Linked DNA regions of Danio rerio. Each later gene encodes a partner of the first gene's protein in a complex. Links are inferred from orthologs where the notes say so. Each region holds a gene or a part of one and is shown in the gene's direction. Other genes may lie near its edges.

Region 1 (4,233 bases):
GTCTAACAGCATTCTGATATACTGTGAGAAACTGATTAATCACAAAACAAAAAAAACAAAAAAATGCTTTTCTTACTTTGTTTCTAGTCCAAAAACACAAAAAAATTCTTAGACCAAGTAAAACAAAATGTTTAGTTTTCACCGTCAGAAGAAATAAGTGAAAATTTGTGGTAATTTATTTTTTGTGGAACTTTATTTTTTATTTTGTGGTAAATTATCTGCCAGTGGGGTAAGTGAAATAATCTTGTTTTCACTCTGAAATGTAAAAAGATAAAAAATTAACAAAAACATTTTTTGTGCATAAATCATACAAATTTCATATAAATACAGTAATTAAATACAATTTTCTGGCTCCTATAGTCAGCTATAATTCAGACTAGACATTGCATATCTTGCGATGTGACTGGATGCACACATTGCGATATTGATGCTGAAACGATATATTGCGCAGCCCTATTTCCTACACCTTTATTATATTGTGCTGTTCAATATCATGATGAAAAAACAGGTACACTGTAAAAAGTAATGTTTTATGAGATCCAAAAGCTGGCCCTAAAAGTAAGTGGGGTGTATCCTCCCGTCCCCCTGGTTGCAACGTCCCTGGGTTTCAACTATTTTTAATTCTACAGTTTGACTGATGAAAAATTAAGATGACTTTAAAAGTTCTGATATGCTTAAGCAACAATAATTGTTTTACAGTATGAGCATTCTCTTTTTATATTTGCGTCTTGCATCCTGTTATGCATCCTTTTGGTTTGTTTAGATGTCTTTGGTCTGTATTGTGTTCAGTCATACTGCCAGAGTTTATTTGAAAGCCACCAGTGTTCACTTTTCAGTCATCTCTGTCTGCTTGCTCTGTGTGTTTGGATGGCAGCATTCACTGTTATTCCAAAACATTGAATGCTGCCATCTAAACAATAGGCAAGCTGGCAGAAAACAGGCTGTAAGTTTCAATCTAACATCATTTGAAAAGCTTCCCCAGGTTTTGGGAAGTAAAACAGTAAAACGCAACTCACGAAAAAAAGCAACTGGAAAAAGAAACAAAAGACAACAGAGAGTAAAGAGTCTGTAGGAATTGTTTTGTTAGACGATGTAAAACTACATTGCATGTATATTATTAGTTTAATATCTGCAGCTCTTTGTCGAGCAGCAGCCGTGTTCAGGCATCAGCAGCAGCAGATGGAGGAGCAGATACAGAACAGGGTGACATCATACCTTTACAATCCGAAGGCGCGGCCGCCGGTATCACGTCAGCTCCAGCAGAAGAGTAAACCCCCCTCTTTGATACTTTACCAATTAAGGTTCTCGCATTAAGACCACAGAGGACAGAAGGAGGCAGAAAAGACTAAGGGGTGTCTCTAGTGTTTTTCTCGAGTTCAGCGAACAAGCCTTTCCTCCAGGGACACTCGTCCGGTCCGGGAGGGTCGTGCAGTGAGGTTTCTGCTCTGTGGGACAGTGAAGTTCACTCTCTGCTGCCCGTGCCACACGCAAACCCAGAAGAGACACAGCGACGTAAGAGGTATACTTCAAGACAAGCAGCAAAAAGTAAGTTCACGTCTGTTCATCAAAGTTGCAAATCAAACCTCTATTAAAAGCTGCGAGGCATGTTTTGTCTTGCATTAAGTGCTGGTGTAACGAGCAGCCTACGTTTTGTTCGGTTTTGCAGTCAAAGCTAAACTGAAAAGGGTTAAAAATTTAAAAAATCACAATGACGCAAACTTTCAAAACATAACGTATTGTGTTCTGCGCATGTTTAAGTAGCGGTTTGGGTGTTCCGCGTGCAGTATATGCTGAATAACTGCATGTCATGTACAGCGTAGGCTCTTTTAAGTCCAGTAACCTGTTGTTGAGTACCTATGAGACTAAGATAAAACAAAACAAGCTAACAATATTTTATATAACACAATATACAGTAGGCGTAAATACATTTTTATGGACATTATTGGGTTTGTCTGTATGCCAAAATGTATACGTATTTAATTAATACTGCATATTATGCTGTCATTGACGACATTAAATCTCTGCGGAGGATTTCATCACTTAGTAATCTTATTTAGGCCTCCTCACCAAATAAGGGAAAATATGGAAAGGTCCGCGCGTCTTCATCCTTTGATGTTACAGTTGCGCGCGCCCCCCCATGATCAAGGAGAAGCTTGCATGCAACATCGCGACCATCGCGACCTCACCTGGATGACAAGATATGTGTAACACTGGGTTTTGCAGTAAAATCGCGCACTATTAAAAAAAAAAATGAGAGTATGTTGTCACAATTGATATGTTTTGAGTAAAATGTCAAATTGAGTGTCTGTTTAATCTAGTTTTTGATATGTGTATAGCTACTTATTTCATAAATATGGTTCTAAACTAGCCTTCAAATTGATTTTGCAGTAATATTAGTAATTGTTACATTGATAATTTTACATCTCTTTACGTTGTCGTTTTCTTTCACCTTCCCCATTTGTCTGCAAGAAATATTTAATCATTAAAAACATAATGAAATTTAGTACGATCAATTATTGCATTATTTTTTTAAAAGACAGTTCAGAAAATAAGTGTGTTGTTTCATTTTTGCAGAAATATATCTGTTACACTTAATAAAATGGCTATTTACCCATCATTTAAAAAGTAGATAAAATTAGATAAGAGTAAAATTGATGGATTTTTTTTGATGAGTAATTAAAAAATATTATATAATATGATGTGGCAACATGCCCCACTTTTAGTCAGCCCATACGCAAAAGACTGTCTTTTTTTCCAGGGCAACAGTGGTCAAAATGTGAAGTTAAGGTATATGCTTAAATTAATTGCTACACGTAAACAGAAGGAAAGTATCTTACCTCTTGCAGTCTTATAATTAATTTAATTTTTTGAATAATATACAAAAGAGTTTAGCATCTATTTTTTATTTAATTTCTGTACATACTGCAGTACTTGCAAAGCCACATCCTGTTGATGCACAAGAATGAAACTCTTTTTTACAAAAGTACCCATCATGCCATGCTCCTGCTCAGTGTAATCTGTGCTTTTCACTGATGCAGATGAGATGCACTTCAGCCTTTGCGGTTAACAGCCAGTATGTGGGTAAACCACATGAGCGTGACTGAGTTGAAGTGTCACATGCCAACATCACTTCTCCATCCTGACTAGTATCTGTCCTCAAATGAACTCAGTGTTCAAAGTTAAATTATTTCAATTATCTCAATTTTATCTCATGTTTGAAAACATATACACTAACGTATGTTTAATGTTAAACATATTCTTATGTAGAGATCATGTTTTGATGATATAAAACTACTTAAATGTAACTAATTGCCTTCTCCCAGATATCCAGATAAATTCACTGTTGTCAGATGCAGTGAGTTAGTAGTCTTCTGTCTTAAGGAAGATTAGAGAGTTTAGCTCAGTGTTCCTTTCAACTATGTGTCTTAAACCTTAACATATTATTATATTTGGCTGCTACATATTAGAACATTTTTTTTCTAAAATAAGCAAATTAGAAAAACACTTTTTGTGCAACCTTTGTGTAATTAAGAATAGGGTAAAACCATCCCTGACTCTTCCTGGAAAGCAGGGGCTGACTTCTGTGATTTGGGGGCGGCCAGCCCACCAAATATGTGCTCTTTTTTGCCTTTTATAACCCTTATTTAGCACTCTCTCCATCTATTAATTTGGATTTTATTTTCCATGTCACCATTGGTTTATGTGATGTAAATCCTTGTTTATTGATTGACTATTTGATTGCCAAATCTGTTTCATCAATATCAGATTGGGGTCTCCTGATTCCTCAGTGACTGCTTTTTTTACTTATTAGTTAGGTTTGCCACTTCTGTTTTTTAGTGTTATTCGTTTAAAATAAAATAAACTACAGAACCTGCTAATTCAGACGATTTCTGTTCATCTGATGATAAACGGAACTTGAAATGCTCTTCAATTTTTACTAGCTAAGCTATCTTTAAGTAAAAAAACGTAAAACCAGCATGTCATGCTTCACATCTCCTGCAGATGACGCCAGAACACAACATGGGCACAGCTGTAGGATACTGGCATGTTCTGAATGCTTGTTTGTTCTTCCTTTGTTTCTGAGCAACTGGCCTATTTACAGTTGGACTGGGTTGTGGACAATATAATTTCACATGAGATTTGAGAAACAATAGTGCATTAGTGGTTTTGGGTTATATATTGCAAGAACTAGTCGTGAATATTCCGTCATGATATTGATTTTATGTTTTGTTG
Region 2 (3,658 bases), on another chromosome or scaffold:
CAGAGAATCAATGTGCTGTTGTTTTTAGCTATTTGATATCTCATGACACAGTCTCCAAATATCCTTCCCATCTGGCAATCCCCTTCAGCTTGTCATTCTTTTTTCCCGTAAACTGTTTGTAGGGATGAGGTGAAGCTGACCAGGAAGATCGGCTCGCTGCGCTACTTCTACAGCTCGGCGTACTTTTTCTCGGCCATCTTTGTGATTGTGGCTGCAGTGGTGCCTCATGCTCTGAGTCGGGGAATCAACCTGCGCCGCATTTTCACCACTCTCTCCTACTGTATGGTGCTGCGGATGACAGTCACCCGACAGCTGCCCGGCTCCATCCAGATGTGGTACGACACCATGCGGCTCATCTGGAAGATTGAAGTGAGTCTAAACGCTCTTTTGCTTTGAGAGCTTTTAAAGTCCCTGTGAAAACAAAATAATGAGTTTTAATGTTAGTAACAGCATGTTAGTCTTAAGGATGTCTATAAGCTAGTGTGTTACAAAACAGCAACACAATTCACATTTAGAAGATGTAACAATTCAAAGTTTGCAGTTTGTCACTTCCGCTTAAATGGATCAGCAATTTTTTGACGTCCCCTTATACTTTAGTTTCTCATCAAATCTTCTGACCAATCAAACACTCTCTAGTATTGGACATTTTTGCCCCATTCACGATCTTTTTGCTATGTTGCACATTTGTTGGCAGAGCTGTGATATAAATAAATAAAACCTTTTTTTTTTCATATTTTGGTTCAAATAACATCACACTAGTGAAGGGAAGTTCATTTTACCAACTTAGATGAATGAGATGAACAAAGGTTTTTTTTTTGAGTGATTTTACATATTTAGTTCACTTTGCCAAAATCTGATCGAAATTAAAATGTCACAGGTTGCACAGCTTACAAACACATCTACAACTAGCCCTAATCACACTACAAATTACAGTCAGACATGATTGAGAAAATAGTTATTCATTGTTTACCTGGGTCTTTTGTCTATGATTAGCTCAGCTCGCCTCTTCTGACAAGTCTTCAAGTTTGAGTTGTTTGTTCACGTGGCACAAACAATCACATGTTAGCTTAAATGATGCACACAGTCTTAGCCGATAGCCGATAGAAATGATTAGTTCACTTTTGAGTCTTCAGATTTTTGAGTCATTCGTTCATCATATGACAGCATGTAAAGAGACGAATGACTCAAACTGAGGACTTGAGAGATAAACGGATCGTTTCTTTTTCTGAAAGTATCTAGATGCAGACTTGGATTTGCAAGCTGAGACTGCATATCTCAGAAATGCAGTGTCAGTCACAAAACACTCAGTGGAGCTAGTGGCATCACTGTGAGGAGTAGGGTTAGGTGTGCACATTAAAACCATTGCATGCAGCTCAGCTTCCAACTGCACCCAGTCTGCATCCAGATCCCTCTCCATATGATTGGTTTGCTGTATGTCAGTCTTTCTCATGATGAACGAATGACTCAAACTTGATAGAAGATTTGAAGGAACTAATCTTGCAAATGAACGAATCACTCCCTGAGAGGACTCATTGCTCTCGAGTCACATTTAAGATTAGTTTAAAATGAACAAATCGTTAAAGAACGACCCATCACTGCATCACACACTGTGTTTCGGCTAAGATATTAAACAGAGGTTCTGACTCTCTGTGGTTATTAAACATCCCATTGGCACTTCTCATAAAGTATAGGGGCGTAAACAGGGTGCGATTTACAGGTGGGTTTGGGGGATCTGACCCCCGTAATTAACACTTGATTTACCCCAAAAGGACATCAAAACAAGATTTACAATAGGGGTGTGTGTGTGTGTGGGGGGGGGGGGGGGGGGGGTATTAATAGTTAATAAATAGTTTCCTCTGATCTGTATCATAAAAAATAATAATAATTAAAAATGGGGCAACACGGTGGCGCAGTGGGTAGCGCTGTCGCCTCACAGCAAGAAGGTTGCTGCTTCAAGCCTCTCAATGTGTGTGAATGAGTATGTATGGATGTTTCCCAGTGATGGGTTGCAGCTGGAATGGCATCCGCTGTGTAAAACATATTATGATTAAGTTGGCGGTTCATTCCACTGTGACGACCCCAGATTAATAAAGGGACTAAGCCAAAATGAAAAGGAATGAATAATTAAAAATAATAGATAACTTACATGTACATTTGACCACCCCTATAATGGTTCATACCATTGCGAATGCCTGTTTGCTCCAAAATAAGGTATTCAGCCAGCAAATCAAGAGCACCAACAGACAGCGTGAGTGTTCACAAAACTTGTTGCTTGTAAAATCGGCTTTTGTACTGTAGGTGTCCATAAAACTAGAAGCATAGTTTGTGTTTTATTATACACTTGCTCACACATGGAAGTTATTCAGTAAAACTAAAAAATATGTGCAGGAATGCAAACTGTTTATTAAATATCACAAATGTCCCCGAGGACCAGTTGCTGTGTGGTGAGCGCACCTGTGGTTGTTGAATCATCATAGTGGATGCTGCACACTGGTAATTTAGTGGAGATACAATTCCCCCTCATTCATTTGTGTGCTTTGGGTAGATAACGTTATACATAGATGCACTGTATAAATGTTCAATAAATGTACTATATAAATGTACTTCACAGGACTTTAAACTAATGATTCCTTAATCAGTATAAACCCAGGATAAACAGAATCCGTTCCGTTTTTAAAGTGTCCCTGAAATCAAAATTAGTTTTTTTGGGGTGTTAGTATCAGAATGTTAGATTAAAGTTTACCTATAGTTCTGTGTACTGCAAAACAAAGATAAATATTTCATTTAGAGGATTTAAGCATTCAAAACTTTCAGTTTTTTTATTTCAGCTTCTTATCATATTTTCTGACCAATCAAGTGATCTATAGTATCTTAAGTGACCCACCCCCTACATGACGCGGCTGTAATAACATATTATATAAACACGTATTCACAAAACTCACCATTCATACAAGTTTTTACTTGTAATGTAATGTAATGTGTATTTATATAGCGCATTTATTGTGTATGGCCATACACCCAAAGCGCTTCACAATCATGAGGGGGTTTTTCCACACCACCACCAGTGTGCAGTGTACTTAATACAAACATGTCAATTGAGACTTGAAATTGACTATTTGTAACTTGTTCAACTTTTACTTCAAGGAATTTCTTAGTAAAGAAGAATACAAGTTAATGGAGTACGATCTCAGCATCACAGAGCTGGAGCTTCAAGATGTGACTGCTTCATGGGATGAGGTGCGCTTCAGCATTCACACACGAAAAAAAAACATTTAAATTGAATTATACTGAGGCTCAAACACATTGCTTTTCACTTTCGAAAGGCAACTAATTGCTTTGCCCTTTGTTGACTGTTTTTTGTGTATTCCAATAGAATTGCATGTTTTATTAAACTAACGACCAATGAAGTCTGAGGTCAATGATTAACTCTAAATTACTGGAACTACATTTGGTGATGTTTTCAATTGTAAATGTGACTTGGCTATTCATTTTCAGCACTCTTGGAGAACAGAGCTGTGTGAATGCATTTGTTGTTTGTATGTGTGCGGTGCGGTGCGGTGTAAGGAGATGTGACGCTGTGTTTCTTTAGGGTCCCGGTGAACTTTTGGAAAGGATAAAACAGGAGAACAAAGCTAATGGGCATCACAATGGAGACGCA
Region 3 (2,826 bases), on another chromosome or scaffold:
TATTAACAAGCATGAATTTTAATTTAAAGGCATTAGCATATGTTAAAGTATGATTAATTATATGCTGTATAACTATTGATCATATTAAGTTTATGTTAGTAAATACATTAACCAATATTAGCTAATGAAACCTTATAGTAAATTGTGAGTTTTTATACAACAATACCATTTATAGTGACAAAATTATAAAAGCTGCAATTTTTGGAGCTTTAAAGGGGTGGTCCACAGTGTATTTTTAAGGTTAGGTTGCGTTTGTAAGATACAAGGGTGTGGTCATGTTTCATTTGTGGAAAATCAAGTTTTTTCGTATATATTACTTTTATTATATTCAGCTACTCAGCTAACATGAAAATGACTGTCATATTTCCTAGTTCCTCTGAAAGCTCGCCCTCAAGAGGCTCTGATTGGTCAGTTAACATAATGTGCTGTGATTTATGGATACTGTCAGTCAGAGTAGCTGTTAGTCATATCAGTTTGCACCTAAATCTGACAGAAAATGACACAGAGAACACAGCTGAACCACACGCCGGCTCTCTTAAAAATAAATTGTGACAAGTGTTTTTTATATATATTTGGAATATAAGCATGTGTAAGTAATATGAAGCATTCACATATCTTTTGCAAGTTGGTTATTTGAGATGTAGAATGCACGGAAAGTGGCCGCATAGAGACAATGAGAAAGACAAAGATTATGGGTGTTTACTGGGGTTTGGCAGATAAATATAAATTTGTAGCTAAATTGTTAACACTACCAAACAGCATTTCCTGTTGTTTACATCCTTGGTTTTGTCATTGCTACAACATACCTTTAACAATATAAAGTATGCATGTAACAGATCAATTTTAACAAATAAAAATACTTACAGATTGTGGCTCACAATCCACACCTTCGTCTATTATGGTTAAAGCTGTTCCTTCATTGAGGAGTTTTAGCCGAATCCAGCACTGAACTAAGAGATATTCTGGAAGCTATCCTTTGTCAAATGCTACCTATATATATTTTTTATAATTCTTTAGAACATAATAAAAATGAAACTGTAAGCACTTCTCTTTTTGTGTCGTGTCCTTTGGAAGTCCAAATAAAGAAACAGAAGAAGCTCTGTGGAAACAGCAGCGTATGGACGGCATTTTAGCTTTCTCTGCTACATTACAGCACCTCTGGCCACGCCCCTTTGCTGCTCAGGTTGTATACACATGGTGAATGTGCGTAATCTGAAGCATTTGTAATCTCAATAGCCCGGATGTATTTTTTGTATTCCCCAAACTTTTTTCACTGTAGGCTTTGCTAAGTTAACTCTGTAAAAGCCAATGTCTCCCTTTGCATTGAACTTTGAGCGTCTTACATTCAGAGATGTTGTTTATGTTCACGCAGCTACATTACACATCAACTAAAGTTTAAAATATGATATCATAGTGGACCACCCCTGTAAAGCATAAATGACAACTGTTTGCAACAACTTGAGGTTGAGTAAATACTTACAAAATTATTACTGTGATCATTAATTTTGGTTAAATATTGCTTTCTAATTTGTATCATGTTTGAAACTGTAAACGAAAAACTTTCTACCTGTACATTTCTCGTTACAGAATGTCCCGAGGGGCCAAACATTATAGCAATTGTAGGAGGATCTCTGGCTGGAGTGGCATTGATTGGTCTCCTGATGCTCCTCATCATCAAGGGTGTTTTGTATGCAAGCGACCTTAGAGAATGGAGGAGATTTGAAAAAGACAGAAAACACGAAAAGACTTCTGTAAGTTCCATTTCCTCATATATAAAAGCTATTCTGTCAAACTCATGCATGGCATTTAATTAAGCAGATGATGTTTTCCTCTTTGCAAACAGGGTACCAACCCATTATTCCAGAATGCCACAACCACTGTTCAAAACCCTACATTTTCTGGAGATTCATGAGAAAATTTTTAACAGATAAAGTATTATGCAATTTAAGATGCTTTTTAACATTTAAAGTTTGTGTGTTTGTCAAATCGTTTACATTTTAGAAGCTCTCTGTAAGTTAATACTGTATGTTTCAGAGTCCATCTATATTCAAATGTATGGAAATGATGTGATTGTTATCTAATGCCTGTGTATTGCATTTTACAGATTCTCTGTTATGAAACAAGCACATAATTAACATATGTTGGCTTTCCACATGATTAAAATAATAGACTTGAGAACTGATCATTTGCTTAGCTTTGCATGTTAACCTGGTTGTTGTTCTTTCAATGTTAATAACATCTAAATTATGTGTTCATGTGTAACTTATGCCTGTCAAGAATAAGTGTTTGTATCAACACAGGCTTATTGGCAATATGTGCCCAGGGCTACATTTTTGAGAAACGGGAAATATGTGCCTGGGGGTACATATATGACTGCATTTTGTGTGTAAAAGGAATGGCTGGTGTGACTGGTACCACGGTACACTGTAAAACCCAACAATCAACTTTATCAAATGAAATGGGTGTAGTTAACTCAGAATTTACTTAAAGTTAATTATATTCATTTTAAAAGAGTTTTGAACTCAGTGTTGAAGTTAAGCAGTTAATTAAATACCTCATTACTTTAACTTAAATGGAGTAAGTTCACAGTACTCATATAGATTAGTTTAACTCAAATGGTTTGTAGCAATCAGTTTCCTCAAACGGTTTGAGTTGCCTAACTTATTGAGTTTTACAGTTCTCAGTTGGTTTGAGTTTTCTTCATTTATTGGGTTTTATTAAGCTCAAATTGCTTCATTTATGCAAATGGATTAAGTTCACAGTACTCATTAGGATTAAATTTTGAACTTAAATAGTTTGTTGCAATCGGTTTCCTCAAACGGTTTG

The links.
Region 2: the proteins of flna (region 1) and cftr are in contact, whole or in part, in a crystal structure (PDB 3ISW), measured with the Homo sapiens proteins. The link is inferred for Danio rerio from reciprocal best matches to the Homo sapiens genes FLNA and CFTR. Residues at the interface, in NP_001104026.1 of Homo sapiens: Thr2263, Gly2267, Ala2268, Gly2269, Gly2270, Leu2271, Ala2272, Ile2273, Ala2274, Val2275, Glu2276, Gly2277, Pro2278, Ser2279, Lys2280, Ala2281, Ile2283, Ser2284, Phe2285, Asp2287, Phe2311; in NP_000483.3 of Homo sapiens: Ser10, Val11, Val12, Ser13, Lys14, Leu15, Phe16, Phe17, Ser18, Trp19, Thr20.
Region 3: the proteins of flna (region 1) and itgb2 are in contact, whole or in part, in a crystal structure (PDB 2JF1), measured with the Homo sapiens proteins. The link is inferred for Danio rerio from reciprocal best matches to the Homo sapiens genes FLNA and ITGB2. Residues at the interface, in NP_001104026.1 of Homo sapiens: Val2241, Thr2263, Ala2266, Gly2267, Ala2268, Gly2269, Gly2270, Leu2271, Ala2272, Ile2273, Ala2274, Val2275, Glu2276, Gly2277, Pro2278, Ser2279, Lys2280, Ala2281, Ile2283, Phe2285, Phe2311; in NP_000202.3 of Homo sapiens: Leu753, Phe754, Lys755, Ser756, Ala757, Thr758, Thr759, Thr760, Val761, Met762, Asn763.

Annotation. Positions count from the first base shown.
Region 1 is NC_133198.1:22,657,036-22,661,268, forward strand, and holds the start of flna (filamin-A), read left to right. Parts: upstream 1-1,291; 5' UTR 1,292-1,545; intron 1,546-4,233. UniProt on the Homo sapiens protein: Promotes orthogonal branching of actin filaments and links actin filaments to membrane glycoproteins. Anchors various transmembrane proteins to the actin cytoskeleton and serves as a scaffold for a wide range of cytoplasmic signaling proteins.
Region 2 is NC_133193.1:22,075,824-22,079,481, forward strand, and holds part of cftr (cystic fibrosis transmembrane conductance regulator), read left to right. Parts: intron 1-122; coding exon 123-369; intron 370-3,144; coding exon 3,145-3,237; intron 3,238-3,589; coding exon 3,590-3,658. UniProt on the Homo sapiens protein: Epithelial ion channel that plays an important role in the regulation of epithelial ion and water transport and fluid homeostasis. Mediates the transport of chloride ions across the cell membrane.
Region 3 is NC_133184.1:46,761,620-46,764,445, reverse strand, and holds the end of itgb2 (integrin beta-2), read left to right. Parts: intron 1-1,587; coding exon 1,588-1,751; intron 1,752-1,843; coding exon 1,844-1,912; 3' UTR 1,913-2,180; downstream 2,181-2,826.